4 linked regions of the Lonchura striata genome follow. The protein of the gene in region 1 purifies or fractionates together with the protein of each later gene. This does not show direct contact. Links are inferred from orthologs where the notes say so. Each region holds a gene or a part of one and is shown in the gene's direction. Other genes may lie near its edges. The genes, in order: IKBKG, MALT1, MAVS and TRAF3IP2.

Region 1 (7,126 bases):
CAGCGGGTGGCCGCCCCTCCCCCATCCCCCAAATAACCCCAAATCCCCCCAAAGAACCCCAAATCCCCCCAAATAACCCCAAATCCCCCCAAATAACCCCAAATCCCCCCAAATAACCCCAAATCCCTCCCAAATCCCCCCCAAATCCCCCCCAAATAACCCCAAATCCCCCCAAATAACCCCAAATCCCCCCCAAATAACCCCAAATCCCCCCAAATAACCCCAAATCCCTCCAAATCCCCCCAAATACCTCCCAAATAACCCCAAATCCCCCCAAATTCCCCCAATTCCTCTGAACCCCCTTCAGTTTGCCCCAAGGCCCCCCAAAATCCCCCCAAACCCTTTTAACTTCCTCCTCAACCCCCCAATCTCCTTTATTTCTCCCCAAATCTCCTAAATCCCTTTATTGCCCCCAAATTTTTCTTCCACCTCTCGATATCCTTCCACTTCCCCCCAGATTTGCTTCCCACTTTTTTGCTCCTCCGGCCCCCCAATTTCCCCCCAACCCCCTCAATTCCTCCCCCAATTCCCTTTATCCCCCCAATTCCCTTTAACCCCCCCAACCCCCAAATTTCTGTCCCCAACCCCCCCAATTCCCCCCCAGACCCCGAATTCTGCCCCTTAGCTCCTCAATTCCTCCCCCTGAACACCAAATTTCTGCCCCTAACCCCCCCAAATCCTGAATCTCTTCCCCATACCCCCTCATTTCCCCCCCAAACCCCCAAATTTCTGCCCCATAGCCCCTTCAATTGTCCCCAACCCTCGAATTCCTGCCCCTAACCCCCCCAAACCCCGAATTCCTGCCCCTAACCCCCCCAAAGCCCCGAATTCCTGCCCCCAAACCCCCAAATTCCTGTCCATAACCCCCTCAGACCCCCAAATTCCTGCCCATAACCCCCCCAAACCCCCGAATTCCTGCCCCTAACCCCCTCAGACCCCCAAATTCCTGCCCCTAACCCCCCCAAACCCCCAAATTCCTGCCCCTAACCCCCCCAAACCCCCAAATTCCTGCCCCTATCCCCCTCAAACCCCCGAATTCCTGCCCCTAACCACCCCAAACCCCCGAATTCCTGCCCCTAACCCCCTCAGACCCCCAAATTCCTGCCCCTAACCCCCCCAAACCCTGAATTCCTGCCCCTAACCCCCCCAAAGCCCCAAATTCCTGCCCCCAAACCCCCAAATTCCTGCCCCTAACCCCCTCAGACCCCCAAATTCCTGCCCCTATCCCCCCCAGACCCCAAATTCCTGCCCCTATCCCCCCCAAACCCCGAATTCCTGCCCATAACCCCCTCAGACCCCCAAATTCCTGCCCCTAAGCCCCCCAAACCCCGAATTCCTTCCCCTAACACCCCCCCAAACCCCGAATTCCTGCCCCTATCCCCCCCAAACCCCCAAATTCCTGCCTCCAAACCCCGAATTCCTGCCCCTAACCCCCCCAGACCCCGAATTCCTGCCTCTAACCCCCCCAAACCCCCGAATTCCTGCCCCTAACCCCCCCAAACCCCGAATTCCTGCCCCTAACCCCCCCAAACCCCCAAATTCCTGCCCCTAAGCCCCCCAAACCCCGAATTCCTGCCCCTAACCCCCCCAAACCCCGAATTCCTGCCCCTAACCCCCCCAAAGCCCTGCTCTGCCCCGTGGCCACTCACGGAGGCGCCGAGGATGACGAGGACGTGCGGGTGGCCCTGGAGGAAGGCTCCGTCCCGGCTCAGCTCCTGCCGGAGCATCCCGCACACCTGCGAGCGGCTCAGCTCCCCCCCGGCGGCCGGCGCCGCCTCAGCCGAGCCCGGCATCGCTCCTGGGGGCCGGACCGGGCACTCGGGGGGCCGGACCGGGCACTCGGGGGGCCGGACCGGGCACTCGGGGGGCAGGTTCGGCCACCCCGGGCAGGGATTTGGGGAGCAGAGGAACAGGTTCGGCCAGCCCAGAACAAGATTTGAGCGGTTGCGGGGCAGGAAAGGGCAGCCGGAGGGACGGGTGGGCACTTGGGGGGCACAGCTGGCACTTGGGGGGGTGGGATGGGGCACCTGGGGATGGGGTTTGGGGGGTTTGGGGTGGGATGGGGCACCTGGGGATGGGGTTTGGGGGGTTTGGGGGGTTTGAGGGGTTTGGGTGGGTTTGGGAGGTTTAGGGGTGGGTTTGGGGGGTTTGGGTACCTGGGGATGGGGTTTGGGGAGTTTGGGGGTGGGTTTGGGTACCTGGGGACGGGGTTTGGGGGGTTTGGGTGGGTTTGGGAGGTTTAGGGGTGGGTTTGGGGGGTTTGGGTACCTTGGGATGGGGTTTGGGGGTTTTGGGTGGGTTTGGGTACCTGGGAATGGGGTTTGGGGGGTTTGGGGTGGGATGGGGCACCTGGGGATGGGGTTTGGGGGGGTTGGGGTGGGATGGGGCACCTGGGGATGGGGTTTGGGGGGTTTGGGGTGGGTTTGGGTACCTGGGGATGGGGTTTGGGGTGGATTTAGGCACCTGGGGACGGGGTTTGGGGGGTTTGGGTACCTGGGGATGGGGTTTGGGGTGGATTTAGGCACCCGGGGGATGGGATTTGGGGGTTTTGGGTGGGTTTGGGTACCTGGGGATGGGGTTTGGGGGGTTTGGGGCGGGTTTGGGTACCTGGGGATGGGGTTTGGGGGGTTTGGGGCGGGTTTGGGAGGTTTAGGGGTGGGTTTGGGGATGTGGGGATGGGATTTGGGGGGTTTGGGGAGGGTTTGGGAGGTTTAGGGGTGGGTTTGGGCACCTGGGGATGGGATTTGGAGCATTAGGGACGGGTTTGGGAGGTTTTGGGGCAGGTTTGGGCACCCCGGGATGAGATCTGGGAGGTTTAGGGGCGGGTTTGGGGATGTGGAGATGGGACTTGGGGGTTTTGGGGAGGGTTTGGGCACCTGGGGATGGGATTTGGAGCTTTAGGGGTGGATTTGGGCATCCGGGAGATGGGATTTGGGGGTTTTGGGGTGGATTTGGGGGTTTTGGGGTGGGTTTGGGAGGTTTTGGGGCAGGTTTGGGGATGTGGGGATGGGATTTGGGGGTTTTGGGGTGGGTTTGGGCACCTGGGGGGCAGGGCTGGGGTGGTTTGGGGCGGGTTTGGGCACCTGGGGATGGGATTTGGGGGTTTTGGGGTGGGTTTGGGAGGTTTTGGGGCGGGTTTGGGCACCCGGGGTGGGGTTTTGGGGATGGGTGGGGCAGGACACGCCCTCCCCCCATTGTCCCCCCCAAATCCGCCCCAGTTCCCCCAAATTTCCCCCCCAGGACCCCCAAATCCCCCGAACCCCCACTGACCCCTCGAACCCCAAATCTCCCCCCTGGACCCCCCAGATCCCCCAAATCCCCCCCATTTCCGCCCTCAGCCCCCCATCCCCCTCCTAACCCCCTCCCCATCCCCCCCAGATCCCCAAATTTCCCCAATTTCCGCCTTCTCCCCCCATTAGCTTCCTCTCAATCCCCCCACGGACCCCTGGACACCCCCAGACTCCCAATTTCCGCCCTCACTTCCCCCCAAACCCCCCCCAAATCCCCCTCAGACCCCGAATTTCCCTCAGATCCCTCACAGACCCCAAACTCCCCCATTTCCGCCCTAAAGCCCCTCACGTTCCCCCTCAGGTTCCCCCCGACGCTCCCCTCCAGGCCTCCATGGACCCCCCGGATTATCCCAGAGCCCAGATCCCCTCACGTCTTCCCGAATTTCCCCACATTTCCCCATTATTTCCCCATTATTTCCCCATTATTTCCCCCCGCACCTTCCCGCTCCGGCCGCGCTCGCGCCGCCTCCCTCACGCTCGCGCGGGTCCCCATCCCTTCACAGAGGCCACGCCCTGTCCCCTTACCCACCAATCACCGCCGAGCTTTCTCCAGCCTCAACCAATCATCGCCGAGGGAGGGCGGGGCTACGCGCGGAGGCGTAACCAATCGGCGCCCTCCGCCCTCGGCGTTGCTATGGCGCCGCCACGACATCGACCGAGGCGGAAGCGCGGCGGGGCGCGGTGACGTCACGCGCTCTCGGCGGAAGCAGGAAGTGGCGGCGGCGCCGCCGCCGGAGCCGCCGGGATCCCAAAAATCCCCGAATTCGGCCCAAAAAAAAAAAATCCCCGAACTCGGCCCCGAAGCGCGCCCGGGAGCCGCCGATGAGCGGCGGGCGCTGGCGGCGGCCCGCAGAGATGGTGCAGCCGGGGCCCGAGGCGGAGCCGGCGCTGGCGGAGGCGCTGCAGCGGCTGAGGGCGGAGAACCGCGAGCTGAGGGGTGAGAGCCGGGCCGGGCCGGGAGGGACCATGGGGGGGCACGGCGGGGGTCCCCAGAGGTGTCCCCGTGTCCCCACTGGGGTGTCCCCAGTGTCCCCCGAGTCCCCTCAGCACCTCCAGGGTCCCCCCCGTCCCCAGGGTCCCCCCAATGTCCCCCCAATGTCCCAATGTCCCCAGTCCGCAATGTCCCCAATGTTCCCCGATGTCCCCTCAGCACCTCCAGTGTCCCCCCAATGTCCCCCCAACATCCCAATGTCCCCTCAGCACCTCCAATGTTCCCCCCGTCCCCAATGTCCCCGATACCCTCAGCACCTTAAATGTCCCCTCCAGTGTCCCCAGTCCCCAATGTCCCAAATGTCCCCCCAATGTCCCCAATGTCCCCAGTCCCCCCCAGTGTCCCCGATGCCCTCAGCACCTCCAATGTCCCCCCCATTTCCCCAGTGTCCCCAATCCCCAGTCCCCGGTGTCCCCAATGTCCCCCCAACATCCCAATGTCCCCCCAACATCCCAATGTCCCCTCAGCACCTCCAATGTCCCCCCCAGTGTCCCCAGCCCCCCCAGTGTCCCCAGTTCCCGATGTCCCCAGTTCTCCTTGATGACCCCAATGTCCCCAATCCCTCCAATGTCCCCAGTCCCCAGTGTCCCCCCAACATCTCAATGTCCCAAATGTCCCCAGTCCCCCCAAAATCCCCAGTTTCCTTCAATGTCCCCCCAGCATCCCAATGTCCCCAGTCCCCCCAGTGTCCCCAGTCCCCAATGTCCCAAATATGCCCCCAACATCCCAATGTCCCCAATGTCCCCAGTCCCCCCAATGTCCCAAATATGCCCCCAGCATCCCAGTGTCCCCAGTCCCCCCAGTGTCCCCAGTGTCCCTAGTGCCCCCAGTGTCCCCAGTCCCCAATGTCCCTCATGCCCCCAATGTCCCCAGTGTCACTGCTGTCCCCACTGCTGTCCCCAGGAGCCCTGTGTCTCTGCTGTCCCTGTGTGTCTCTGCTGTCCCTGTGTGTCACTGCTGTCCCTGTCACTGTCCCCAGGTGCCCTGTGTTACTGTCCCTGTGTTACTGTACCTGTGTCACTGTCCCTGTGTCACTGTCCCTGTCCCCAGGAGCCCTGTGTCACTGTCCCTGTCCCCAGGTGCCCTGTGTCACTGTCCCTGTGTCACTGTCCCTGTCCCCAGGTGCCCTGTGTCACTGTCCCTGTGTCACTGTCCCTGTCCCCAGGAGCCCTGTGTCCCTGTGTCACTGTCCCTGTCCCCAGGAGCCCTGTGTCCCTGTGTCACTGTCGCTGTCCCTGTCCCCAGGAGCCCTGTGTCACTGTCCCTGTCCCCAGGTGCCCTGTGTCACTGTCCCTGTGTCACTGTCCCTGTCCCCAGGTGCCCTGTGTCACTGTCCCTGTGTCACTGTCCCTGTCCCCAGGAGCCCTGTGTCCCTGTGTCACTGTCGCTGTCCCTGTCCCCAGGTGCCCTGTGTCACTGCTGTCCCTGTGTCACTGTCCCTGTGTCACTGTCCCTGTCCCCAGGAGCCCTGTGTCACTGTCCCTGTCCCCAGGTGCCCTGTGTCACTGTCCCTGTGTCACTGTCCCTGTCCCCAGGTGCCCTGTGTCAATGTCCCTGTCCCCAGGTGCCCTGTGTCACTGCTGTCCCTGTGTCACTGTCCCTGTGTCACTGTCCCTGTCCCCAGGTGCCCTGTGTCACTGTGTCCCTGTGTCACTGCTGTCCCTGTCACTGTCCCCAGGTGCCCTGTGTCCCTGTCCCTGTCCCCAGGTGCCCTGTGTCACTGTCCCTGTGTCACTGCTGTCCCTGTCACTGTCCCCAGGTGCCCTGTGTCACTGTCCCTGTCCCCAGGAGCCCTGTGTCTCTGCTGTCCCTGTGTGTCACTGTGTCCCTGTGTGTCACTGCTGTCCCTGTCCCTGTCCCCAGGTGCCCTGTGTCACTGCTGTCCCTGTGTCACTGTCCCTGTGTCACTGTCCCTGTGTCACTGTCCCTGTCCCTGTCCCCACGTGCCCTGTGTCACTGTCCCTGTGTCCCTGTCCCCAGGTGCCCTGTGTCACTGTCCCTGTGTCCCTGTCCCCAGGTGCCTTGTGTTACTGTCCCTGTGTCACTGTCCCTGTGTCACTGTCCCTGTGTCACTGCTGTCTCTGTGTCACTGTCCCTGTCCCCAGGTGCCCTGTGTCACTGCTGTCCCTGTGTCACTGTCCCTGTGTCACTGTCCCTGTGTCACTGTCCCTGTCCCCAGGTGCCCTGTGTTACTGCTGTCCCTGTGTCACTGTCCCTGTCCCCAGGTGCCCTGTGTCACTGCACGCAGTCGCTGCGGCAGCGCCTGGAGGAGCTGCGGAAGCTGCAGCAGCAGCGCCGGGGCGAGCGGGAGCTGCTCTGGGGACGTTGGGGACAGGCCCGCGAGCTGGTGCTGCACCTGCGGGGACAGCGCGGGGACACCCCCGGGGACAGCCCTGAGGACACCCCCGACACCCCCGGGGACGGCAGGGACACCCCCGGGGACGTCGGGGACACCCCCGGGGACGTCGGGGACACCGCCGGGGACGTGGGGGACACCGCCGGGGACACCGCTGGAGGCATCAGGGACACCAAGGACACCCCTGGGGACACCAAGGACACCCCCGGGGACATCAGGGACACCCCCGGGGACATCAGGGACATCCTCACGGACACCAAGGACACTGCTGGGGACATCAGGGACACCCTCAGGGACACTCTCAGGGATCCTGGGGACATCTGCAGGAGCAGCCCTGACGCCAGCACTGAGGTGTGTGTGTCCCCCTCCTCGTGTCCCCTTCCTGTGTCCCCTCCCCGTGTCCCCTCGCTGGCCCCCCAGCTCCTGTGGGGTGCCCCTGATGTCCCCAATGTCCCCCTGATGTCCCCAGTGTCCCCCTGGGGTGCCCCC
Region 2 (7,553 bases), on another chromosome or scaffold:
CTAATGTCAGAAAAAAATTAACTGACAAAAATATATAAACTTGATTAAAAGGTGGCCATTACATTTTCTCTCTTGCATCACATTTTTCCAACTTTATTAAATTATTAGCAAAACAAAAATCTTCTTGTGAAAAATTACCAGATATTGGCTTTTGCATTTATGTATTAGCCCATGCTTGTTGTTAGTGATTATAACTATTTTGAAATAGTATCAATTATAACTCTTTTCAGCTGCATGTTAGTATAATATAATCTATCACCTTAAGCATGCACTGTATTGCTCATAGAAATAGTAGTGCAATGAATATAATAGCTATGTATCACTTATGGAAATAATAGTGTGTTGAATGTACTGTGTTATAGACCTTAGCAAAACATAAGATGGGAAAAAAAGGCTTTTGTGTAACCAAAAACAGTGTAAGGCCATCCAACCTGTCCAAGTGCTAAGATAACCATGGCACAAACCAGAGCACCGGAGCACAATTAGAGAATACCGTGTTAAATTTAAGGAGGACATACTAAACCCTTATCAGAGGATGTGAAACAGCAGGATGGAGACACAAGAAAATATATTGACCTGACACCCAGGATGTCATGCAGATAAGCCGGAGTATGAAGAAGTCAGACAAAGAAGTTCCCAAAACATCAGAAAGTTCAAAAGAACACTTGAATTATGCATGAAACACAATAATATGCATGTATCTTATTGATATAACAGTATAAAGATAACATTGTCTGTATGCCCTCCCCCCCCACCCTCATGGAAATACTGTCCTTTTTTTATCCTATTACTATAATTATTATTATTTTTAGACTTCTAAAAACTCTAAGCAGTGAATTCTGTTTTTCACATTCATTTGTAAGCAATTTTATATTCACAGAAATTATTTATACGGGAAGCTTATGCATTTTAGCAATCCAGAAGTGAATTTGTGCCTTTCTGTGAGGTTCATGTCCTCTAGAGTCAATGGAAAAATCCCCTTTATGACATCCCTGAAGCATTTTTCCTTTGCTTAAGATCTATTCATGGAGTAATCTCTGTTTTGTGTGCAGGCCCTTTTCAGTAGTGCTCCTTCCTATCTTTCAGCAGCACTCACTGGTCCCTGACCTTGCTGGAGCTGTCCGCCCACCCAGGAACCACCTCCCGTTATCTGTGCAGCCCCAGCTCTGGGCTCAGGGGCCCGTCCCACGCATTTCCGTGGCACAGTGAGCACCTGGTCAATGCCCACCCCTCGATGGAGCCAAGCTGTGACCCCCACAAAGCTCCCAGCCAGAGCAGGTCCTGCCAAGGACCTGCATCACACCCACCCAGCCAGAGTAGTGGGAAGAGAGAGGCTGAGTGAGCCCACACGGGGGATATCAGCAGAACACCAGGGGAATGACACTGATCATGCACAGTGGTTCACACTGGGGAATAGCCTTTCATCAACCAATACTTTGGGCTCTCTATACCGAGCTGACAGCAGTTCTGGGATAGCTGAAGCAAGAGAGAGCGCAAATGGAACACCTTGAGCAGCATACTTGTCAAAGAGTGCACAGTGTCAGAAACCAAACTACAGAAACACTGTATTATCTAAACCAGTTACCACACTATCTATTGGATTAATAAGGTCTAGGTAAGAAAAACATCAGTGAAGTTGTGGCTGTTCAAAAAGTAGATGTCTGGAAAATATGCCCTTGCCGAAAATTCTGTGATATATTGAGGTTCTTCAACTGCCAGTATCCAAGGCTTTTTGACAACATTTTGATTAGTGCAGTACCCGCTGTAAACAGCCCCACAGTATAAAAACACCTCATCCATAATTTATCAGCTAAATGGACTAATAAATTACTGGCTCTGCACATGTCAAACAAACACCTTAATATAGAGTAATTAAAATAAGCAATCACAGCACAACTCTTAACACTGATCTGTCTTAATCTATTTTTAACACCTGTCAAGCATCTGACCCTGTCAGACTGAGCAATTCATGAAGATTGGGAATCACCTATTACTACCAAGTGACCAGACCTTTTCCTCAAGAATGGAGGAACCTTTTATCTAATGCATATTAGGCCGTGCTATAAATATTTAGAATTTAGAATTAATAAATGTGTCTTTCAGGATACCTGGTATCACTTACACACTCTTTAGAGAAGGAAGCTTGCTTTTGTACAATTTTTGCAATTTTGTCTTAATGAGACTTGGTGGAAATAGTAGCAGAGAGTAATTTCAGAAACAGTGAGCAGATTTATAAATGCAACATGCTTAGAAACACCCAAATCTATTGGGATAAACAAAAATGGCTCTTCTTTAGCAGAAGGAAATACCAAATCCCATTTCCTGGTCAACAGCAGTATAAATCAATCCATTGTAGTGCACTGATAATAAAAGTAACTTGCTCTTTTTCCTTTATTAGTCTTTTATGATACACATTCTATTTGCCCAGGAGAAAAAAAGCAGACAAATAATTTTCAAAGTCCAAACACCCCGACCCCTCACTTACCCTTGAGCTCTTTGTGGATGTTCTGGGATAGGCTGGTCCTGGGCTGGGCCTCCCCACTGGAGACAAAGGAGGCTGAATTTGTGCGCGTTGTTAGGAGCTGCAAGCCAGCCGACAGCTTCACCGGTGTTTTGGAGTGCGATCTCAGGATAGGGAGTCTGATCACTGAACAGTTTGACTTTTAAGAGAGACGATTTCATTACATGCAGCAGATGGCCCTTCCTGGGAAAACCTCTGCCAGACAGGGAGTTGGCAGTGAGGAGAGGGCACATCCTACTTCCATAGAAGTCCATAGGAATTTCCTAATGGCCTTGAGACAGAGGAAGTGTTGGCCTTAGTTTTTCATAACAGAGCACTGGCTTGTTTTTTGAAGCATGTGCCTAACTGCTCTTCTAGGCAAGTTGGGAATTTCTTACTTGCTGGACGTTAGGCACACAAAAGTTCTGCTGAGCATGAGAAAATCCACAGTGCCTAACAAGCAGGCTGAGGAAATCAAAGGTGGACAGTGGACTTCTCATAATCTCTACACAGAAATTCACCTTATCATCTTCATCCCTCAAAGGCAAATGAGCAAATCCTGAAGTAAGAAAGTATTTCCACTCTTGGTACCCAAGGAGACAAGTCTCACACATGGCAAACTGGAATGAATTGCACAAACTGCCCTGAGTTTAAGGGATCTGGAAGAGGCCGAAAAAACAACTTTTGTGCCAAGTTTTTTCTTAAGCATTTTGAAGGACACACAGCTAAAACTGGTTACAAGATCCTACTGTGCTAAATACTTCTTGCTCCCAGTGTTATCTAGACAGATAGGAAACTGTGGTCTTCAGCAGTAAATATAGCACTTCCAACCACCCTTATTCAGAAATAGCAATAAGAATATCTATGTTTTATAGACGAGCCTAATAGGCAAAGAAATGAGAGGCAGCCACATTCAAATCAGAACAGTTTCGGTTGGAAGGGACCTTTAAGGGTCATATAGCCCTACACCAACATGGGCAAAAACACCTTCCACCAGACTAAGTTGCTCCAAGCCCCGTCCAACCTGATCTTGAACACTTCTAGGGATGGGGCATCTACCACTTCTCTGAGCTACCCAAATGCTTGATCACTGATTAAAAATGTTTGTAAAATTACTTTCTTAGGCACCTTCAGTCCACTTTGAGCAAGTCGCAATACCAGAGAGGTGAGAATTCGCTTCAGATCATCTGTTTGCAGTGATAACGATCACTCAGGGGAACATCTCGGGAGGCTCTTCCTGAGCAGTTCCTCCTCTCCCTCGCTGAGGACGCAAGGTGCCTTTACGCTGCACGCTTCGACAGTGGCAGCAGGCTGAGAAAAGCTGTGTAAAGGAAGAGAGTCCATGGTCGTACTGCTCGCGGTCAGATAAAGACGTTTCTCCTCAAGGCGAGAGAGAAACAGCTCTCGGGTCTTGTGGGCTTTGTCTGGTTTACGCCCCAGCCCCGGTTGTAAAGCCACGTTCGGCCTCCTCAGCACCACCCGGGAACGCTGCAGGAGGTCTCGCGCTCGCACAATACGCCCATTTCAACAGGGGTACGACCGCGCCTGATCTGTTTCCTCACGGTGCCCGAGGAGGACTACGGGATGTCCCGGGGGCGCGGTGCCCTCAGAGCTGGGCCCCCTCAGAGCTGGGCCCCCTCAGGGCTGGGCCCCCTCAGGGCTGGGCCCCCTCAGGGCTGCGTCCCCTCAGGGCGCGGAGCCCTCAGGGCTGGGCCCCCTCAGGGCGCGGAGCCCTCAGGGCGCGGAGCCCTCAGGGCTGGGCCCCCTCAGGGCTGCGTCCCCTCAGGGCTGGGCCCCCTCAGGGCTGCGTCCCCTCAGGGCGCGGAGCCCTCAGGGCTGGGCCCCCTCAGGGCGCGGAGCCCTCAGGGCGCGGAGCCCTCAGGGCTGGGCCCCCTCAGGGCTGCGTCCCCTCAGGGCGCGGAGCCCTCAGGGCTGGGCCCCCTCAGGGCTGCGTCCCCTCAGGGCGCGGAGCCCCTCAACGGGGCTGTGCCCCCTCAGGGCGCGGTGCGCGCGCTCCCCTCAGCCGTACCCGACCCAGCCGCCCCGTCCCGCGCGGCTCTTCCTTCCGTGCGGTAGCACCGCCCCGGCGGGCAGCCATGGAGTGCGGCGCGGCGGGGCCGCTGCCCCTCAGCCGCCTGGCCGGGCCGCTGCTCCGTAGGCTCAGCGAGCTGCTGGACCGCGCGGCGCCCGGCAAGGGCTGGCGGGAGCTGGCGCAGCGAGCGGGGAGCCGCGGCGCGGTGCGGCTGAGGTGAGCGCGGGCAGCGGCGGGGCGCGGGCAGCGGCGGCGGGGCGCGGCCCAGCGGTGCGTGTTTATCTCTCTAATCCCGTAAAACACTGAGAGTCCGTCCACTTCATAAGTGAAAGTATCACCACATACTGAAGATATCTCGTCCCCAGGTTTGCGTAGCTCTGTGATTTAAGGAAGGAAACGTTGATTAATCTTTTTAGTGGAAATATGTAACTTTGTATTCTCTTTAGGCAGTTGTCATTATTTCTTTTTTGTGTTGATTGAATGCCTGTGACTGAAAGTGCGTGACAACGACACCAAAGTTGAAACTACAAGTTCAGACACAGGTGACTACGCTGTACAGTCGGTGTGTTAGGCTGGACTCCAGCAGTCACTTGTTTACAACAACTTTAAAATCAGTCTTCCTGTACTTTGAAGTTAAGAGTCTGACTCGCTCTCTACGGCTTCTGAGTCAGGCTCATAGAAATGAAAGATGCTGTACTACTTTTTCTGCTGACACTTTAAAAGTGAAAAATAGGAGGTTTCTTAATACATTTGCTGAAACTTGTGAGGTATATGCATCTCTTATACCATCCAGCTCACTAATACCACTTTCTGTCTGCGGAGGTGTCACTGAATAACCTCTGTACTCCTGAAACTTGAAGGAAATGCTGCAAATATGTCCAAATCAGCTGGGAATTTCCCATCTCTATTTTTATTTATCTACAAGTGATTGTTTACCCGGGTCCTTTCTGAGAAAAAGGTATTGAGAAGGTCTATGCCATGTCTTTCTCACATTATTCCATAGCCCTCTCGACTTGGAGCAGTGTTCCCTCCAGGTGCTGGAGCCAGAAGGCAGTCCTAGCTGGAGTCTCCTGAAGCTGCTGGGGGATCGGGGCTGCACTGTCGTGGAGCTGGCGGAGTCCTTGCAGGCCCTGGAGCACACAGAGGCTCTCCGGTGTCTGAGCCACTCAGGTCAGTTCTGGGCTGTGCTTTCACTGCGGCCCTGGATTTTACACTGGGAACACTCAAGGTAGCACTCTACAGTAGCGAAAAGCAACTTTAGTGCTTGAATTCTAGCTAGTTGGGATCCAGATGATTACCAAGGTTATTGGCTGATCTGATTCTGAGGTTAAATGTAAGCCAAACCTTCGTGCAGTGTTGTTGAAGACTTGGACTTGGCTCCATGGGTGTGCTGGGCGTTGTCATTCTGTCTGCTGACTGGGGTTTGGTCTCAGCATGTGCCTCTGGGAGATGCTTATGGACCAGAGATGGACAGACAGGTAGTGCTGCCAGCACTGGAGTCTGGAGGTGTCAGTAACTTATCCCAGGTGAAGGGGAAGGGTCCAGTTAGGGCAGATTATTAATAAGATTATGAATACTGAATCTGCATGGTTTCAAAGTCCAGTAACCATAGATGTCACTTTGCCATATTCAAAGGTAACACTTATGCTCTGCATTTTCCAAGGAAAATGGAAGAAATATTTATGTGTCTTTGTAATCTATCATAAAATTGAGCTGGAAGGTTTTTCTTTTTGAACTATTAAATTCCATGGTACGTGCAGGAAGTGACTGTGTAGTGCTGAATAAACCACAGGAAAGGAACTGAAACTGGAAAGAAATTATGGATCAGATTTCTTAGAACTTGTTTGGAATGCTTCTGATGAGTGCAAAATGCTTATCTTCCAGTGGATTTTTCTCATCTATGTTCTTAAGAGCTGTTTGTGATGCAAATTGGGGGAAATTAAAAAAAAAAAAGTGGAAGTTTTGGAAAGAGCAAGCCTTCTTAATTTTTCTGTCCTTTAAATTGAAATAGCATAATTACTTTTCTGCTGGTTAATGTTAGAGGACTGTGATGCTCAAAAACAACACAGTTTAACTGCAGAAAGTGGAAGAGGAAGTGTTAAACAAGGAGTTGAGGTACTGATCTCCAGTGCTAGGTGTAGAAGGAAGTGATTTTGGAGTAAGGAAGGCAGGGAATTTCAAAGTGCTGCAGCTTTTTTGGAGTAGCTGCTGGTGTGTTCTACTCTTTCAGAGTAATCATGTGAGTGGAGGCAGCTGATGGAACACACTGCTCTGCCAGGCAAGGTTATGTGATTTCCAAACGCCGTGTGCTCTCCGTTTCAGGCTGTTGTCTCTGTAGGTTCTGGTCTAGTTGGACTATCCAGAGCAAAGAATGTTTCAAATCATGATTTTTAAATGTTCCGTTCTCCTTCTTCTGATGACTTTGGCTATACCAGTGGACCTGGTTTTGGGACCATGCTGTAACAAGATCTGGAATACCTTAGGTTAAGAAAATAATTGCATCATATTGGAGTGGTGTCAGTTAAGATTTGAAATAGAAAGTTTTACCTTGCAGAAAACCCCAGCCCTATGTTCTGCATGAATCAGAGGCATAAGAGTGTATAAGGAATAGCAGGAAAATGTGCTCTGTTGGACTTAAACTCTGACTGCTTTGACTCCCTCAGGCTGGGCCTTAATCTGAACAGCTCAAAAAAAAAAATCGTTGGGAGTGAACAAACATTTAAAACTGAGAATATCTTTCCAAAAAGGGATCTGTGATACCATGAGACATATTATTTCCTTTAAAATTAAAATATCTGAATGATATACTTTAAACCTTTTATGAGCTCCATCGAGTACTTATCGATTTGAGCATGGATTTTGTGTAGTGGAAGACAATTTTGAATGTCTTAAAGTAATATAACTAATTGGAACTGTGCGTATACACAGTACAAACAAATTATTTTCAAGTATATTTAATGACAGAAAGGTTCTGTGCTCCAAGGGCAATTTAAATGCAAATATAAATTATGGACTTGTATT
Region 3 (7,537 bases), on another chromosome or scaffold:
AAATCCTCTCTGCAAACCTGGCTGCAGCCCCCACCCCTGAGCACATCCTTCCCCTCCCTGCCACTGGCTGCTGCAGCAACAGGAATTAAAATAAAGATGAAAAACTCCTGTTGGGGCCGCAGTTTTATTTCCTGTCGTTTCTAGAACTCCTTGTACAGGAGGAAGAAATCCTTAAATATTTCCAAGCATCCTGCATGCTCACAGCAAGCTCCCCCCAGCCACGAGCAGGCAGAGAAGGGATGACTAATTTTTTTTTAGCATAAGACGCTGGGAGAGCGTCCTGTGAACAAGCTCAGTAAATTCCTGAGGCTCCCGGCAAGGACTCCACCACTCCTTGCGAAACTTCCCAGCTGGAACCGAAAAGGCAGAAACCATCGTTTTCTCTCCCTCGACAAACAGAGTTTGGGATTCCTTTCGCGACAGTATTTGGATTTTTAATGTCAGTCCATATTTAGCAGGAGAGGAAAAAAAGCCTCCCTTCCTTCCTGTCACATTTTCCACCCTCGATGACATCCAAGATCAGAAACAAGCAAGTGCTGGCCGAGGAGGGAGGATGCAGCTAGCCGAGCGTGGGAGAGCTTGGAGAGGGGCAGCACTGACATTCCCGTTTGGGATTCCCGTTTGGGATGCGAGGAGGGGACACACCCTTTGAGGAGCAGAAAGAGCCAGGGAGAAGGGGACAGAGCTCTGAAGGAAGGACAGAACCCTCAGACCCCACAGCAAAGATGGTGTCCCTTCCAGTGCTACAGCCTGGAGCATCTCTGAGAGGGATGGCCCAGGGGGCAGCCAGGACACAAGCCCCCAAGCTGGAATATCGGTCCCAAAAGAAGCTTTTGGCCACTGGCATGGCCTGGATTTGCCAAGGGGGACATGGTCTGACCGTGGGTCAGGAGTAGAAGCCCCAGAGTCCTGAGTGGAGGTGTCCAGGGAGCCTGGCCATCCTGCAGCAGGGTGGTGGTGGGTGGTGGCAGGAGATGGTGGCCATGGTGGCCCTGCCCTGCAGATGTTTTTTGGGTCTTGGATGGGTGTCCTCAGCTTGGACTTCCGTACCCAACCCCGTGGGTCACTGCAGACCCACAGGTGCAAGTTCACAGAATCATGGAATGGTTTGGGTGGGAAGGGACCTTAAAGCTCATCTTGTTCCATCCCCTGCCGCGGGCAGGGACACCTTCCACTAGCTCAGGTTGCTCAGAGCCCCATCCAACCTGGCATTAAACACTTCCAGGGATCCAGTGGCAGCCACAGCTTCTCTGAGCAACCTGTGCCAGGGCCTCACCACTTGCCTAGGGAAGAATTTCTTCCTAATATCTAATCTAACCATACTCTCTTTCAGTGTGCAGCTATTCCCTCTTATCCTGTCACCCCAGACTCTTGTAAAAAGTCTCTCTCCATTTTTCTTGCGGGCTCCCTTCGACTACTGAGAGGCCCCCATTAGGTGTCCCCGGACCCCTCTCTCCTCCAGGCTGGACAATCCCAATTCTCCCAGCCTTTCCTCGCCGGAGAGGTGCTGCATCCCTCCCATCAACTTGGTGGCCTCGTCTGGACTCGCTCCAAGGCAGCAAACCCAAGAGCCCCAGCCCGCGATCACTCGTAGAAATCACCATTCTCCCTGCCAGATACACCCCCAAAAATACAGACGCTAACCCCCCACTTCAGCGTGGGCAGGGTGGGGGCGACCCACCTCCACGGACGCGCGTGGGTCGCGCCCCCCGCCCCTTCCGCCACCCCCGGGCCCCCACAACAACCCGGTGCGCCCCCCCGGCGCTCCCCGCGACCCCGTCCCCGCTCACCTGCGCCCGCCGCTCCCTCGCCGCCTCCCGCCCGAACGGCTCCGCTGCGAGGCCGCCTCGGCCGCCCGTCACCATGGACGGCGCCGCGCGGGGAGGGCGCGGGGTGGGGGGGGCCGGGGGAGAAGGGGAGGGGGATATGAGGGAAGGGGAAGGGGTGCGGGAAGCCCCCGCCGCCCCTCGGGGCTCTCCCGGCGCTCAGCGGCGCCGCCGCCGCCGCCCGCCCGCTGCCGCCGCCATCGCGCGGCTCCGGGCCGGGGGCGTGGCCGGGGCGTGGCCATGGGCGTGGCCAGGCGGGCCCCGGGCGCGGGGTGGTGCCGCCCCCTGGTGGCGCGGAGGCGGCGCTGCGCCTTCGCCCCCGCTCCTCCGCTCTTCAGCTCCCGATTCCGCTTCCCAAAATTCCGGAGTGGGAAATTAATTAACTATTGACTGTTCATTAGGGAATTAATGACAAAGGAAAAGCTTTGGTGGGATACTACGGGAATGACGGAGAGAGACTCTTAGGAAGGAGGTGCGGAGACAGAACAAGGAGTAACGTGTACGAGTTGAAACAGGAGGAATTTATATTATTTATATTGGATATTATTATATCCACTAATATTGCTGTGACCGCGGCGAGAACAGGAACAGGTTGCCCAGAGAATTTGTGGTTGCCCCAAGGCTGCAAATTTTTAAACCCAGGTGGGATAAGGCCTTGAGCAACCTGGTCTAATGGGGGTTGTCTGTACCCATGGCACTCAGCTTGGGATGATTAAAGTCACTTCCAAACCTTTAACATTCTGCGATTCTATGATTATGATTGTACCATTCTGCGATTCTATGATTATGATTGTACAATTCTGCAACTCTGTGAACACGAATTACTGAGTGGCTTTTTTTTCATGTGGTAAATTTTATCATTATACTGATCTCTTCTTAATTATAGAAACAACCCAGAAATATGATCGATTTTTATGACTTAGAATGAGAAAAGCTGGATTCAATTAATTATAATCACAGAATGGTTTGGGTGGGAAGGGACCTTAAAGACCATCTCGTTCCACACCCTACCATGGGCCGGGACAACTTTCCGCTATCCCAGGTTGCTCCAAGCCCCATCACCTGTGGCCTTGGACACTTCCAGGGATGAGGATTTTCTGGATAAACTGTGCCACTGCTCACATGAAGGACCATATTCCAGCTCCCAGAATCACAGAAAACTGAGGTTCAAAGGGACGTCTGGAGATCATCCAGTCCAACCCCCTGTCAAGGCAGTGTCACCTGGAGCAGGTGACACAGGAATGTGTCCAGGTGGGTTTGGAAGGTCTCCAGAGAGGGAGACTCCATGGCCTGCCCGGGCAGTTATTCCAGTGCTCTGCTACCCAAAACATAAAGAAGTTCTTTGTCACATTGAGGTGAAGCTACCTGGGGCTCTGCCCCCAGGTAACAAACAACAGGATGAAGGGAAAATTGTTTCATGGAAGGTTTAGATTGGATTGTAGGGAAAATTTCTTTTTGGAAGGGGTTTTCAAGCACTGGAAAAAGCTGTCCAGGCCAGTGATGGTCAGCATCCCTGGAGAGATTTAGAAGCCATTTGGATGTGGCATTTGGGGATATGTGTTAATAATGGCCTTGGCAGTGCTGGGGGAATGGTTAGAATGGAATGGAATGGAATGGAATGGAATGGAATGGAATGGAATGGAATGGAATGGAATAGAATAGAATAGAATAGAATAGAATAGAATAGAATAGAATAGAATAGAATAGAATAGAATGGAAGAGAATGGAATCATCCATCTTCATTTTAATTTTGTTTTGTCAGTGGAGCAGCTTTGGGGTGTGAAACTTCTCCCGTTCCCCTAGTTTTCAGACATCTTTGTATTATTCCTTGTCCAGTCGCTGGGCATCACGGGAAAGAGTCTGGCACCATCCTGTGACCTTTGCTTGGAGATGTTTTTATGGATTGGTGAGATGGCTTTGGAGTCTCCTCTTCTCCGGACTCAGCAGGCCCTGCTGCCACAGTGTCCCCTGGCAGAGGGGGACAGTGTCCCCAGGCTGGCCACGCTCCGGGATCTCCGCTCCCGCTGTCCCGAGGGACTGGGAACCTGTCCATGCTCCTGTTGTGGGTTTGGGGTCCCAAATTGGGCAACTCCCTGGAGCAGTTCTGTGTCAGCAAAAGCAGACACACAGGACTTTTTCCGTCTTCATCTTCTGTTTATTGTTACCTGATCAAAACTTCAGCACGCTGTCTGCACCAGACCTTGCATGCTGGAAAACAGCACAAAAATGGCCAACAACCTCGTCTAATCAAAAGCTGCCCAATTAAGAAGTGACACCTAAATTATTTTCCTTTCTAACCCAATAACTGACCCCTAAAGACCCGCAATGTGGATTTTTCTACCCCATTACAAGATACCACCTAAACCCAAGAAGGAAGAGGAAGAAGAGAGGAGAGGAATTCGAGACAACACCCTATATCCTCCATCTTGAACCCATCTATAACACACTAAAAATCCTAACACCTAAATTCCTCACCCATGTGACATACTAAATTACCCTCTACAATCTACTTCACACTTTGGTGGTTTCTAGTTTACCTTGAGGCTTTGGAAGTTTTCTCCACGAATGAGGGTCACAGTCAGAGCTCCCCTGGGGGTCAGAACCCCTCAGGGCAGACAAGGGCAGTCCCCTGACGTGTCCCCACGCCCTGTCAATCACGGTGACGGGCGTGCGCCGCAGCCAATCAGCGGCGGCCGCGACGCGAGGGGGCGGGGCCGTGGCGGCGGCGGGCGCGCGGCGGCGGCGGGCGCAGGTGAGGGGCCCTGAGGGGCCGTGAGGGCGGCGGGGGGGGATGGCGGGACCGCACCGGCCCCCACGGCCGCCACAGCCCCGGCAGCCACCCCCGGCCGCCCTGACAGGGGGATCTGCGAGCGGAGAACCTCCCGGAGATCCCCCGGGGGTTGAAGGTCGCGCTGAGGGCGGCGGGGCCCTCCTGGTGTGGGCGCGCCTGCGGGCCGCTGTTCCCTGTGGAAGGAGCTCTGTGCCTTCCCCTTTGGTTTTTACATTGCTTATGCGGGATTCCAGCCATGGCCCCTGGCGCTTGTCTTGGCCGTGTCGCCTGTTTTTCCTTTGTCGTGACGCCCAACCCGCCGGGTGAATCCAAACAAGCAGAGTGGGAATAAACACGGCGTTTATGGTGGGAAGGAGCGAGGTGTGTGTGGAAGTGAAGCTGAGCGTTGAACTTAAAGCCGAGCGAACTTTGTGCGCGTGGTTTCCGACAGGATTTCCCGTCTCATCATGGCAGTGTTTGTGCCAGGGCACTGAGGCTCGCCAGCAGCCTCTGCTCACCCGAGGTCTCTGTCCCCCTGCAGGTGCTGAGCCACGATGGGTTTGGCTGAGGACAAAGTGTACACCCACATTACGAGAAACCTCAAGAAATTCAGCACTATCCGAGTGGCGTCGCTGGCCGATTCCCTGACCTGCCTGGTCGATTCTGACAGAGTAATTTCCTATTTTCCTGAGCTCTGCCAGGCTCCTTCCCCCATGGCAGCATAGAGTTATCTTACCTCTAAGCCAGACCCTCTCTTAGATACCCTGTGTGTTTTTCCTAGGATGAACTCCTTGCCCGGGAGGAGATGCGGGGCAACCAGGCAGCTGTCTTTAGATTCTATCAGCACTTGAGGTGCCGGAAGGGCTGGGTGCAGGATCTCATCCAGGCACTTCACCAGAATAACGCAGGGCACTTGGCTGATGAGCTGCAGGAAGTCTATGATACCTGGCAACCTCGACCTCGTATGTAGCCTCATCCTTCCTGGGTGTGCCCCGTGGGCTGCTGGAGGTGGGGACATGACATCTCTGTCCCTGCTTCAGCTTCCGAGGGTGCTGGAGGTGTGTGTGACTGTCCCAGGGATGTCCTTCACTGTGTGACATGTCTGAGGATGATTTGAAGGTGCTTGGGTTGGTGGTGGGCTGGGGTTCTCACCTGAGGGAAGATGGAAAGATAACAAAGGGGTGCTGTGGGCTTGGCTGATGTGGGGACAGAGCATGGACACACACACAGGGCTGCCTCAGCCCCGCACTTATCCTCTGCTTCCTCAGTTTTTTCCACAATGATCTGCCTGTCTCTTCCAGGTTCCTCAGCTCCTGCTGCTGCCTCCTCCCTTCCCAGTGATGCCCGTCCCACTGCCTCCTCCATCAGTGCCCAGACACCATCCCAGGGGCCAAATCCTGCCCCTTCGGCTGGGCGGCTACGCCCAGACCTGACCACTGGTGACCATCCACCTGTCCTTCCCAGTGCTGGCACCACCACAAGTACGGAGCTGGAGGCCAGAATGCCGGTGCAGGAATCGGTGAGCAGGGCACATGTTGGATGGGGACACCAAGATCCCTTTGAGACCTTTTCATTGGGTTTTGGGAACCTGTGGTAGGGCCAGGCTCCTTTAGGGCCACCCCGAGCAGCTGCTTGCTGCTGATCTCTGCTGCATCTGGTAATTTACTGCTGATATATGGCCCTGTAACTGCTCCCTCTCATGTCTCCCTCCATGGGAGCAGTGCAGGCTCTGCTTTGCCACCAATCCAGGCTTCTCTCCACAACCCCAGACCCTTGGGTGGGTCCCAAAGAGAGACCCCAGACCCCATTCATAACCAGCCTTGCAGGGGTCACTGCTCAGGCTTTAGAACACCGCTGTGAACCCCCTCAATCCCAGTGATTTAACACAACCCATTTCCTTCCAGCTCCCCAAAAAACTCCCGGAGCAAGAGAATCCCCGGCCGGTTCCACCTGAGAGCAAAGTCCACAGCGGAGTGAGCGGCGGGCACAGTGGAGAGGGGAATCTCTCGCACCCCTCCGGGACCGTGCCGGTGTCAGAGGGGACATCAGGGGTGGCCGTGCCACCGGCCGTGTCCCCAGAGCAGGGCCGGGACTGGCTGAGCCGCCGGCCGGTGTGTGTGGACAACGGATTTTTTGGGAATGCAAACCACCTGCACCGCGGCACGCCGGGCCTGGCCCTGGGCAGGTCTGTTCCATCGAGGGATGCAGGTGCCACTCAGAGCCCTGGGCAGGCCAGGAATGAGCCCGAAGAGAGCTCGGATATCTTCACAGAGTCACCACCAAGGCTGGAGGGAGCCACTCGTGGTGTGGGGCAGCAGCCCCCAAACTCGGTGCCAAAAAAGCAGCCTGTGCCAAGCTCTGGGCATGGTGAGCCCACGGGCAGCTTCGTGGATGTGCGCAGCCCCCTCCTCATACAGGAGCAGTTTGATGTGGAGAAGAAGCGGGTTGGGATGCTGCAAGAACACCCAGGGAGTGGAGGTGGGTTTCCCTCCTGGCAGAACCTGGCAGCCACTAGGGAGCAGGAGGTGCTGCTGAGAGCCCCTCACTGCAAGAAACTGGGATGCTGGAACACATCCAGAGATGGGAATGGGACTGGGAGGGCTCTAGAGCATAAGTCTGATGAGGAGCAGCTCTGAGAGCTCATTCTGGAGAAAAGGAGGTTCGGGGGAGACCTTCTCACTCTCTACAACTCCCTGAAAGGAGGGTGGAGAGCAGCTCTGAGAGCTCATTCTGGAGAAAAGGAGGTTCGGGGGAGACCTTCTCACTCTCTACAACTCCCTGAAAGGAGGGTGGAGCAGGGTGGGGATTGGGCTCTGCTCCCAGCTAACAATCAACAGGATGAAAGGAAAATTGTTTTGCGGGAGGTTTAGATTGGATAGTAGGGAAAATTTCTTTTTGAAGAGGTTGTCAAGCACTGGAAAAAACCGTCCAGGCCAGTGAT
Region 4 (6,890 bases), on another chromosome or scaffold:
TAGAGCTTGCCAAGGGCTCTGGTTTGCTTTTTTGTGCATCAGCATTTGTTGCTGAGCTCATGCACCCAGAGCCTTGCTTAGCTACCTACTGTCACAGCTTCACACAAAATTCCTGAGCCCTGAAATGGATGAATTCTAATCTGGAAAAAGAAAAAAGAATGCAGGGCTGTTTTGTGACTACTGGGGCTCAGCCTCATGCCAGAGGCCTGTCTCTGAGCCCTGGCAGTCCCTGTGCTTTATTCACTGCTGCAGTTCAGGCTCTGGGCTGCCTCTCAATTCCACAGGCAGCTGGATTTCCCCAGCTAGAAAATGCTACTCGTATAGGAGGGTCTCTGGTGTTGGGAAAGGGCTGCAGGGGTCCCAGCACACCGCTCCTGGCACCACACATGGCCTGGGCCATCACTGTTCCTGGGACAGGCTTCCAGGAGAGAGTGGCAATGCAGAAGGGACCTGCAGCTTCCCTGGAGGCCCTTTGGACACCCAGAGCTGCCATGCTCTGTTAGCAGCAGCTCAGGCACAAGTGTGTGGAGCTGCTGACAGGTCTTGGGGTGACTTGGGTTCCGGGGCTGTGGTGCTACAGCCCATAGTCCCAGTGACAGTGGAGAAACAGCTTTGTGTCTTAAACAGAGAGGACTAGCTACGGTTGATCACACAAGTGCTCAAGTGCTCCCTCAAATTCCCATGCCTCCCAAAAGGAGTGCAGCCACCAGCTGAGCTTTGTCTATGACCTCATATATATCCAGTGTATAAAACACATTCCACATATTGAACATTTGCATATGTTACATGTCTTTTGTTCCACTTGGGTGGCCTTTTCCTCCCCTCCCCCCATGACTCATCCACACAGCTCCCATCACATTATTCTGGACGTGTCATTTCTGAAGGACTACACATCCCTGTCCTGCAGAGAATGGGGGCTCTGTTAATTGTCAAATGTTGAGTGGGTAATGATCAATGGGTGACTAATTGGATGCAAGAGGGAATAAAATAGGTATTACTTAGCTTCTGCTCTTAATTAAGAGGATACATAATGCTGTGGGGAAAATCTTAACAAATGGCAGGAGGTGTTTTTGTCATTATGCAGGGTTTAATTACATGCATTGCACAAGCCAACATCCAGGTACTGTTTTCTTTCCTTTCAGGTGTCTCTCCAGGGTGTGACTGAAAATTGACAAAGCAAGAGCCTTAAAATAAAATAAGTGGAAAATATTTTCGCAGGCATGTGCCTAGCAATGTAAACAGCAAGACATAGAAGAAAGTCCCGGTTTTCCTCACAGTGCAAAAGCAGCAAGGGACATGCAGAGAACCAGAGTGAGACCAGTGCATTATGCTGAGGCAGAGGGGGTTAAAGGCTCACTGCAATGTCTCCAGGTTAATTCACAGCACCAATGTTAAAAGAGGAGTAACATGACAGTGCGCTATTTAAACAGTTAATAATTTGGAAGCAAAAATATTCATTATTTATTTCTCCAAAAACAGAGATGTGGTAAGAAATATGAGACGGGGCACTCAATACCAACATTTTCTTCCTAATGAAAAAAGAAATATTACAACTCCTGCCGGATAAGGAATGGATTTTAAAAAGAAAAAAATGGTCCGTGTTACTTGCCTTGACAAAGAAAACCATCCTGCACTTGAATCTGTTCTTTCTATGACAGGCCCAATATGACTCATCACGTTCTGCTTGTAAATAATGTACAGATGAGATTCTAACTTTAGAGAGTTCAGAGTTTTATCTGGCTTTCAGTGAGTGAAGTCAGTAGGGTAGGAAGACTTCAAATATATAAAGGAGGCCTTCAGAAGGCAATTATGATGGCTTCAGTTTTGGGGATGAGGGAGGTTTTTGAAATGCTAAAATTAACTTGGGTATCTATTGTCCAAGTTTCCTAATCCAAAAATGAGTTAATTGACAACAGTTTCTACAGCTTTGTGGGAGTGTACTGAGGTTTGGGCTGGACCTTTGAAACCCACTCAGCAGACAGTGCTGTTAACAGATTCAACAGAGTGTGACTTTCAAGCTATTTTTCCCCTCTTTGTCTAAAGTACATAATTCTCAAGAGAAAGGAAACTGCTCCAAATATCTGCTGTTTTCTGGGGCTTGGCAAGTTAAAGAGGGGACAGAGACTGGTTCTTTGGCCGCATCTGCAGACATCATTAGATCTCTGCATTTCTGGAGCTGAAGTGACAGATCTCACAACCAGAATGTTCCTCTCCTGGACAACCGACAGCTGTCTACAGGGGTGGCAGGTGGACACTGTTGTTTGCTGGATGTTACAGACCAGTGTCCAGGGTTTGACCAGCGGAGAACAGAGGACTGTCCATACCCATTGTCAGTGAGGGAGGCCATCCACGGCGTGAAGAGAGGTGCTTGATGGCTCCATAGCAGAACCTTTTATAAAGAAACCCCACAGATGTGGGTATTGATGAAGCATTCCACGGGACACTCTGTCTGCCAAGTCCCCATGCTGCTTGCATTCCCTGAGGAGCTGGTCGTTGCACAGCAAACACTACATACATCCCTCACACACATCCCAGGAAGGTCAGGTGCTCCCCAGAGCAACTCTCCCTCCCTGCTTCCATCCTGTCAACATTCAACAAGGTCCTGATTTTGGCTCCTGTGTGGCCGTGGGCCCCTCACCGCCCTCACCCACTGTGGCACACCAGTGGCAGTGGAGCCATCACTGCTCCTGAGCTGGAGGCCGGTGGGAAAGCCGGCAGGAGAGGCAGCCACCCAAGCCCAGTGCGGTGCAACTCGGGGCTCAGGCAGCCTTGAAGAAAATGCCGGCTGTCAGGGTGCTCATGGTGCAAAACAGCTGTGCAGCAGAGGCCAGGCCAGAGGGATTAAACCTTCAGCTGTGGTCATAATGCAGCCACTCCAGCCGTAAGCATCTAGTGCTCATCACATCTGGGGCTGGCTGGGAGCAGCAGGGACTCTCCAGGGAGTCTGGCAGCGGTCAAGGACAACTTCAGAGTGCTCCAAAAGGGAGCCCTGGTGTCCTGCTGGCCTTTGCCTTGGCACAGGAGGCAGAAAGCGGGGAAGGAGGGGGTCAGGATGGCCAGTTCCAGGGCCAGACTGATGTGGGATTTCTCACCAGGGAAGGTAAGCCCAGGCTGCAGGGCATCACTGCACTGCCATCAATACAATCACACTTAGTGCTCAGCTGGGGGCACATCCTGCTCCCAGCTGCCTGAAGGCAACTTCCAAAAATGTGGGCAGTCATTCCGTGATGAGAGGAGATAATTGCCTGGGTCACTGCTTTGCCTTTGGACCAGAAAGAGGGGCTGGCAGAGTGGCGGGCGTGCAGAGAGAGCCCTTCCCGAGGGCAGGAATGCTGGGTATGTGCCCCCTTCCTCGGCCCCCCGTGTCACTGGAGGGGCACAGGAAGGAGCAGCGGTGGCACTGCCAGAGCTCGGAGCTCGGGGGTGGTTTCCATGTCCCTGTGCCAGGCAGACCTGCCAGGCATCCAGGCAGCCGCGGTGTCCGCCTGCGGCCACCCGGAGGGTGGGGAGCCGTGCCAGAACGTCCTCCTAGGGTGAAACTAAGAAAATGAGGCTGGAGATCACGAAGAGCTTCTCGGCAGGGAGATGCGCTGCGTGGGGGTCAGGACAGTGGCGTGGCCTGGGATAAAAGCGGCCAGAGCGGCTTTCCTGGGGCAGCTCACCGGGCATCTCCGGAGCTGGGAGAACACAAAGTTTCAGCTTGTAGGAAAAGCGATTTTCTGGTCCTTGAGAGTGTAGAAACTTGGAAGTGTCTAGAAAGCTAATATAAAAGAAAGAACCAGTCGAGAAATCCTTTTATTGTTCTTTATATAGTTCTCACACGCGTCATGTGATTCTCTTCGACCGTCTGAATCACAGCTGATTTACCATTTGGCCCTGACAGCAAGCGGCCGAGGGCTGAAAGCAAGGGATGGCTTTCGCGGCGAGGCGCACGGGTTAGGAATCACGCCGGGGTTGCCCTGCGCCCTTCGGCCGCGGCGCTCGGGCAGAGCCGCGGCACCCACGGGCGCGGCAGCGCGGCAGGCACGGCCGGGAGCCGCTTCCCGGCGCCACCGCGCCGAGCCGGCCTGCGCTTCCACTTCCTGCTGCAGGCCAGTTCTGCCGCTCACCTGGGAGAGGCTGGGAGCGTGTCGTAAAAGGAGGGAAGGCCGCCCGGCCGGCTGAGGAAGGAGCCCCGGGCGCGGCGGGAGCGGGAGGCGCAGCGCTCTCGCTGTCCGGGGCAGCCCAGCGCGAACCCCTCGCCCGCAAGGTAAGCAGGGTCAGCGGCGCCGCCTCCCTCGGCCCTGCCGCCCTCGGTGCTGACCCGCGCCTGCCTCTCGCCGGGCTAACCCCCCAAAATTGCTGCCTCGCTCGCTTTCTCCCCCTCCTCGGAGCATGGGAGCCCGGCTTTCACAGATGGTTACAAGGTGTTTCAGCCATTTCGCTGCAGTTTGTTTTGTTTGTTGGTTCTTGTTCTTTTAATTTTTTTAAATCAGGAGGGGTTTGGGGTAAACACAGGGGACGGACACGCCTGGTGTCGAAATGTTGTCCTGCCTATTTACGTAGTTTCCTGGCAATGAGTGGCGGCCAGGCCTGATCCCGATCCCGCCCTGTCCGGTTCTGCAGGCTCAAGGTGGTGTGTTGGCCGATGGCCCTCTCCTTTTCCCTCTCACTTTCCCTCTCACTTTCCTTTCCCCTCCCTTTCCCTTCCTTTTCCCTTCCCTCCCTTTCCCTTCCTTTTCCCTTCCCTCCCTTTCCCTTCCCTTCCCTTCCCTTCCCTTCCCTTCCCTTCCCTTCCCTTCCCTTCCCTTCCCTTCCCTTCCCTTCCCTTCCCTTCCTTTTCCCTTCCCTTCCCTTCCCTTCCCTTCCCTTCCCTTCCCTTCCCTTCCCTTCCCTTCCCTTCCCTTCCCTTCCCTTCCCTTCCCTTCCCTTCCCTTCCCTTCCCTTCCCTTCCCTTCCTTTCCCTTCCCTTCCCCAGCTGACCCGGGGCTGCATAGGACAAGTCCATAGACCTGGTGAGGGAGAGGTGGCTGCAAGGTGTGAAGAAAACAGGATCACAGATGCTTTTTGCCCCATCCTCTATATAGCCTTGGCACAGAAACAAGTGGGAGCAAGGTGGTAGTATTTCTTTTCTATTAGGATAAAACCTGCTTCCATATAAAACCCGTTCCCATTTCACCCAGTCTCAGGATACAGGTTTTGTAGGGTTAGCACTGGCTGGGCGCTGAGATTGGCACATCTGAGCTTACTGGTCCTCAACCACCACCAGTAACGCTGAGACCAGAAATTCCCATTCCCTGCAAGCCCTGGGTGGGTTCAAGGCCTGGACTGGCCACACCAGTGCCCCACCATGACCAGCTGCTGCTGTGACATCTATGACAGGTGATTCCAGAGACAGGGATGCGAGGGGCACGTGCGGCTGGGCCAGGGTGGGTGAGTTGCTGCCAGTGATGCTGCTGCCTGCAGTGCCATCAGCCTCTGAAACCAGCCTTGTCCTTGCAGAATGCTGGCAGTGCCTGGAAGCATGCTGTATATATATTTTTTTTTTAAATTATTTTCCGATGGAGTTGAGTTTTCTTTCTGTTTTCCTAAGGCAGGAAGCAAGGCATGTGCAATTATGGTGTTCGTGTCTGTCAGTGCCCCCCACCCCCAGCAGTGGCTTTTGAAGTTTGGCAGAGGGTACATGTCTGAAAGATACACACATTTCTGCACGTTTCATGACTGCAAGTGAGCGAGGCTGTTCTCACGCCAGCCGAGGGAGACACGTCAGGTCCCGCAGGCTTCCCTCAGCCTCCTGCCGCCCACGCTCCCGCAGCCCTCGTGCTGCAGAGCAGGGAGAGTGGCTACGGATGGGAGAGACATCAGCCCTGAGAAATACCAGGGGCTCTTTGGGAGCCACAGTCTTCGATGTAAGGCATGAAGCTGTAGCAAAGCAGGCTGAAGAAATTGATGCTTTTCAGGGTGATCCCTCCATCCCACCCCACTGAGACAGCCCCAGTTTGGTGACAGGAGTTTTGGATGTCCCCGAGCCCTGGGATATCCCAGGCTGGGGGTTCTTAAGTGCCTGTGAGAGTTTTGTCAGCACCAAAAATGGGTGGGAAGTAGCCTCTGGAAAACAATCACATTTTTAAGGATACTAAAGATAATTGTAGACATTTTCATATTTCACAATGTTTAGAAAGCTGGCAGGGAATGCTGCCTATATCTGAGGTGCCTGTTTGGACCCTGCTAGAGGGGTGTCACCCTTCTAGTTTCTTACTACTTACTGCCAGCATTCCTTCAACATGTATATCAATGTCTACACTAAAAAGGCAAAAAATACCAGGTCTGCTCTAGCCTTTGCACTGTGGATTGTCCACTGAAGCAGCATTAGTGGTGCAAAAAAGAATGTGAAGTTTGCTGTGCAGACAGGGTTTGAAGTATGTTCTCTTGGCACATGTAGATTTTCCTGCCATGGCTTCAGAAAGTACATGAGAGCAACCATATAGCCAGAGGAACATACTATTTTTCTAATTTTTCCAGAAGTCATGAAAATAAGCATTACCTGCCCTAGAGGGCTAAAAGTCTGGACTAGGAATGTGACACATGTCCTTAGTCTTTGCTGTGGAGGGTACCCAAGGGAGAGGGGAGCATCTGTGATGACAGCAGCCGAAATTTCTCACGGTGAAGTGCAAAATTCTGAAGCTTGGATTTCCTTGGCAGTGCTTATTTAAAGTGTAGACCCAAACCAGTTCCCACATTTGTACATGCTCCTCCTGTAAGGATTTCTCTCTGGTTTTTTGTGAGGAAAGTTATGTCTAGTGTTTCTGTAGAGAAAGCTGCACTTAGAGCAAGTGCTCTTGCACACTTACACTCATCTCACCCTGTGGCAACAGCATTCCTTGAGATCTCAGCATGTGCATCCTCACAGC

Evidence for each region.
Region 2: the proteins of IKBKG (region 1) and MALT1 purify together in Homo sapiens (affinity purification with western blotting; 4 studies listed by BioGRID and IntAct, with this or other methods). This does not show direct contact. The link is inferred for Lonchura striata from reciprocal best matches to the Homo sapiens genes IKBKG and MALT1.
Region 3: the proteins of IKBKG (region 1) and MAVS purify together in Homo sapiens (affinity purification with western blotting; 4 studies listed by BioGRID and IntAct, with this or other methods). This does not show direct contact. The link is inferred for Lonchura striata from reciprocal best matches to the Homo sapiens genes IKBKG and MAVS.
Region 4: the proteins of IKBKG (region 1) and TRAF3IP2 purify together in Homo sapiens (affinity purification with western blotting; 3 studies listed by BioGRID, with this or other methods). This does not show direct contact. The link is inferred for Lonchura striata from reciprocal best matches to the Homo sapiens genes IKBKG and TRAF3IP2.

What each region holds. Positions count from the first base shown.
Region 1 is NC_134638.1:2,065,131-2,072,256, forward strand, and holds the start of IKBKG (NF-kappa-B essential modulator), read left to right. Parts: upstream 1-4,112; coding exon 4,113-4,227; intron 4,228-6,506; coding exon 6,507-6,564; intron 6,565-6,708; coding exon 6,709-6,988; intron 6,989-7,126. Other genes in the region: G6PD (glucose-6-phosphate 1-dehydrogenase), read right to left, coding at 1,650-1,798, 3,729-3,783. UniProt on the Homo sapiens protein: Regulatory subunit of the IKK core complex which phosphorylates inhibitors of NF-kappa-B thus leading to the dissociation of the inhibitor/NF-kappa-B complex and ultimately the degradation of the inhibitor.
Region 2 is NC_134642.1:368,396-375,948, reverse strand, and holds the start of MALT1 (mucosa-associated lymphoid tissue lymphoma translocation protein 1), read left to right. Parts: upstream 1-4,544; 5' UTR 4,545-4,596; coding exon 4,597-4,748; intron 4,749-5,535; coding exon 5,536-5,702; intron 5,703-7,553. UniProt on the Homo sapiens protein: Protease that enhances BCL10-induced activation: acts via formation of CBM complexes that channel adaptive and innate immune signaling downstream of CARD domain-containing proteins (CARD9, CARD11 and CARD14) to activate NF-kappa-B and MAP kinase p38 pathways which stimulate expression of genes encoding pro-inflammatory cytokines and chemokines.
Region 3 is NC_134606.1:3,104,406-3,111,942, forward strand, and holds the start of MAVS (mitochondrial antiviral-signaling protein), read left to right. Parts: upstream 1-4,535; 5' UTR 4,536-4,578; intron 4,579-5,137; 5' UTR 5,138-5,150; coding exon 5,151-5,267; intron 5,268-5,377; coding exon 5,378-5,558; intron 5,559-5,897; coding exon 5,898-6,115; intron 6,116-6,500; coding exon 6,501-7,074; intron 7,075-7,537.
Region 4 is NC_134605.1:68,416,667-68,423,556, forward strand, and holds the start of TRAF3IP2 (E3 ubiquitin ligase TRAF3IP2), read left to right. Parts: upstream 1-3,872; 5' UTR 3,873-4,249; intron 4,250-4,565; exon of another isoform or gene 4,566-4,612; intron 4,613-6,890. UniProt on the Homo sapiens protein: E3 ubiquitin ligase that catalyzes 'Lys-63'-linked polyubiquitination of target protein, enhancing protein-protein interaction and cell signaling. Transfers ubiquitin from E2 ubiquitin-conjugating enzyme UBE2V1-UBE2N to substrate protein.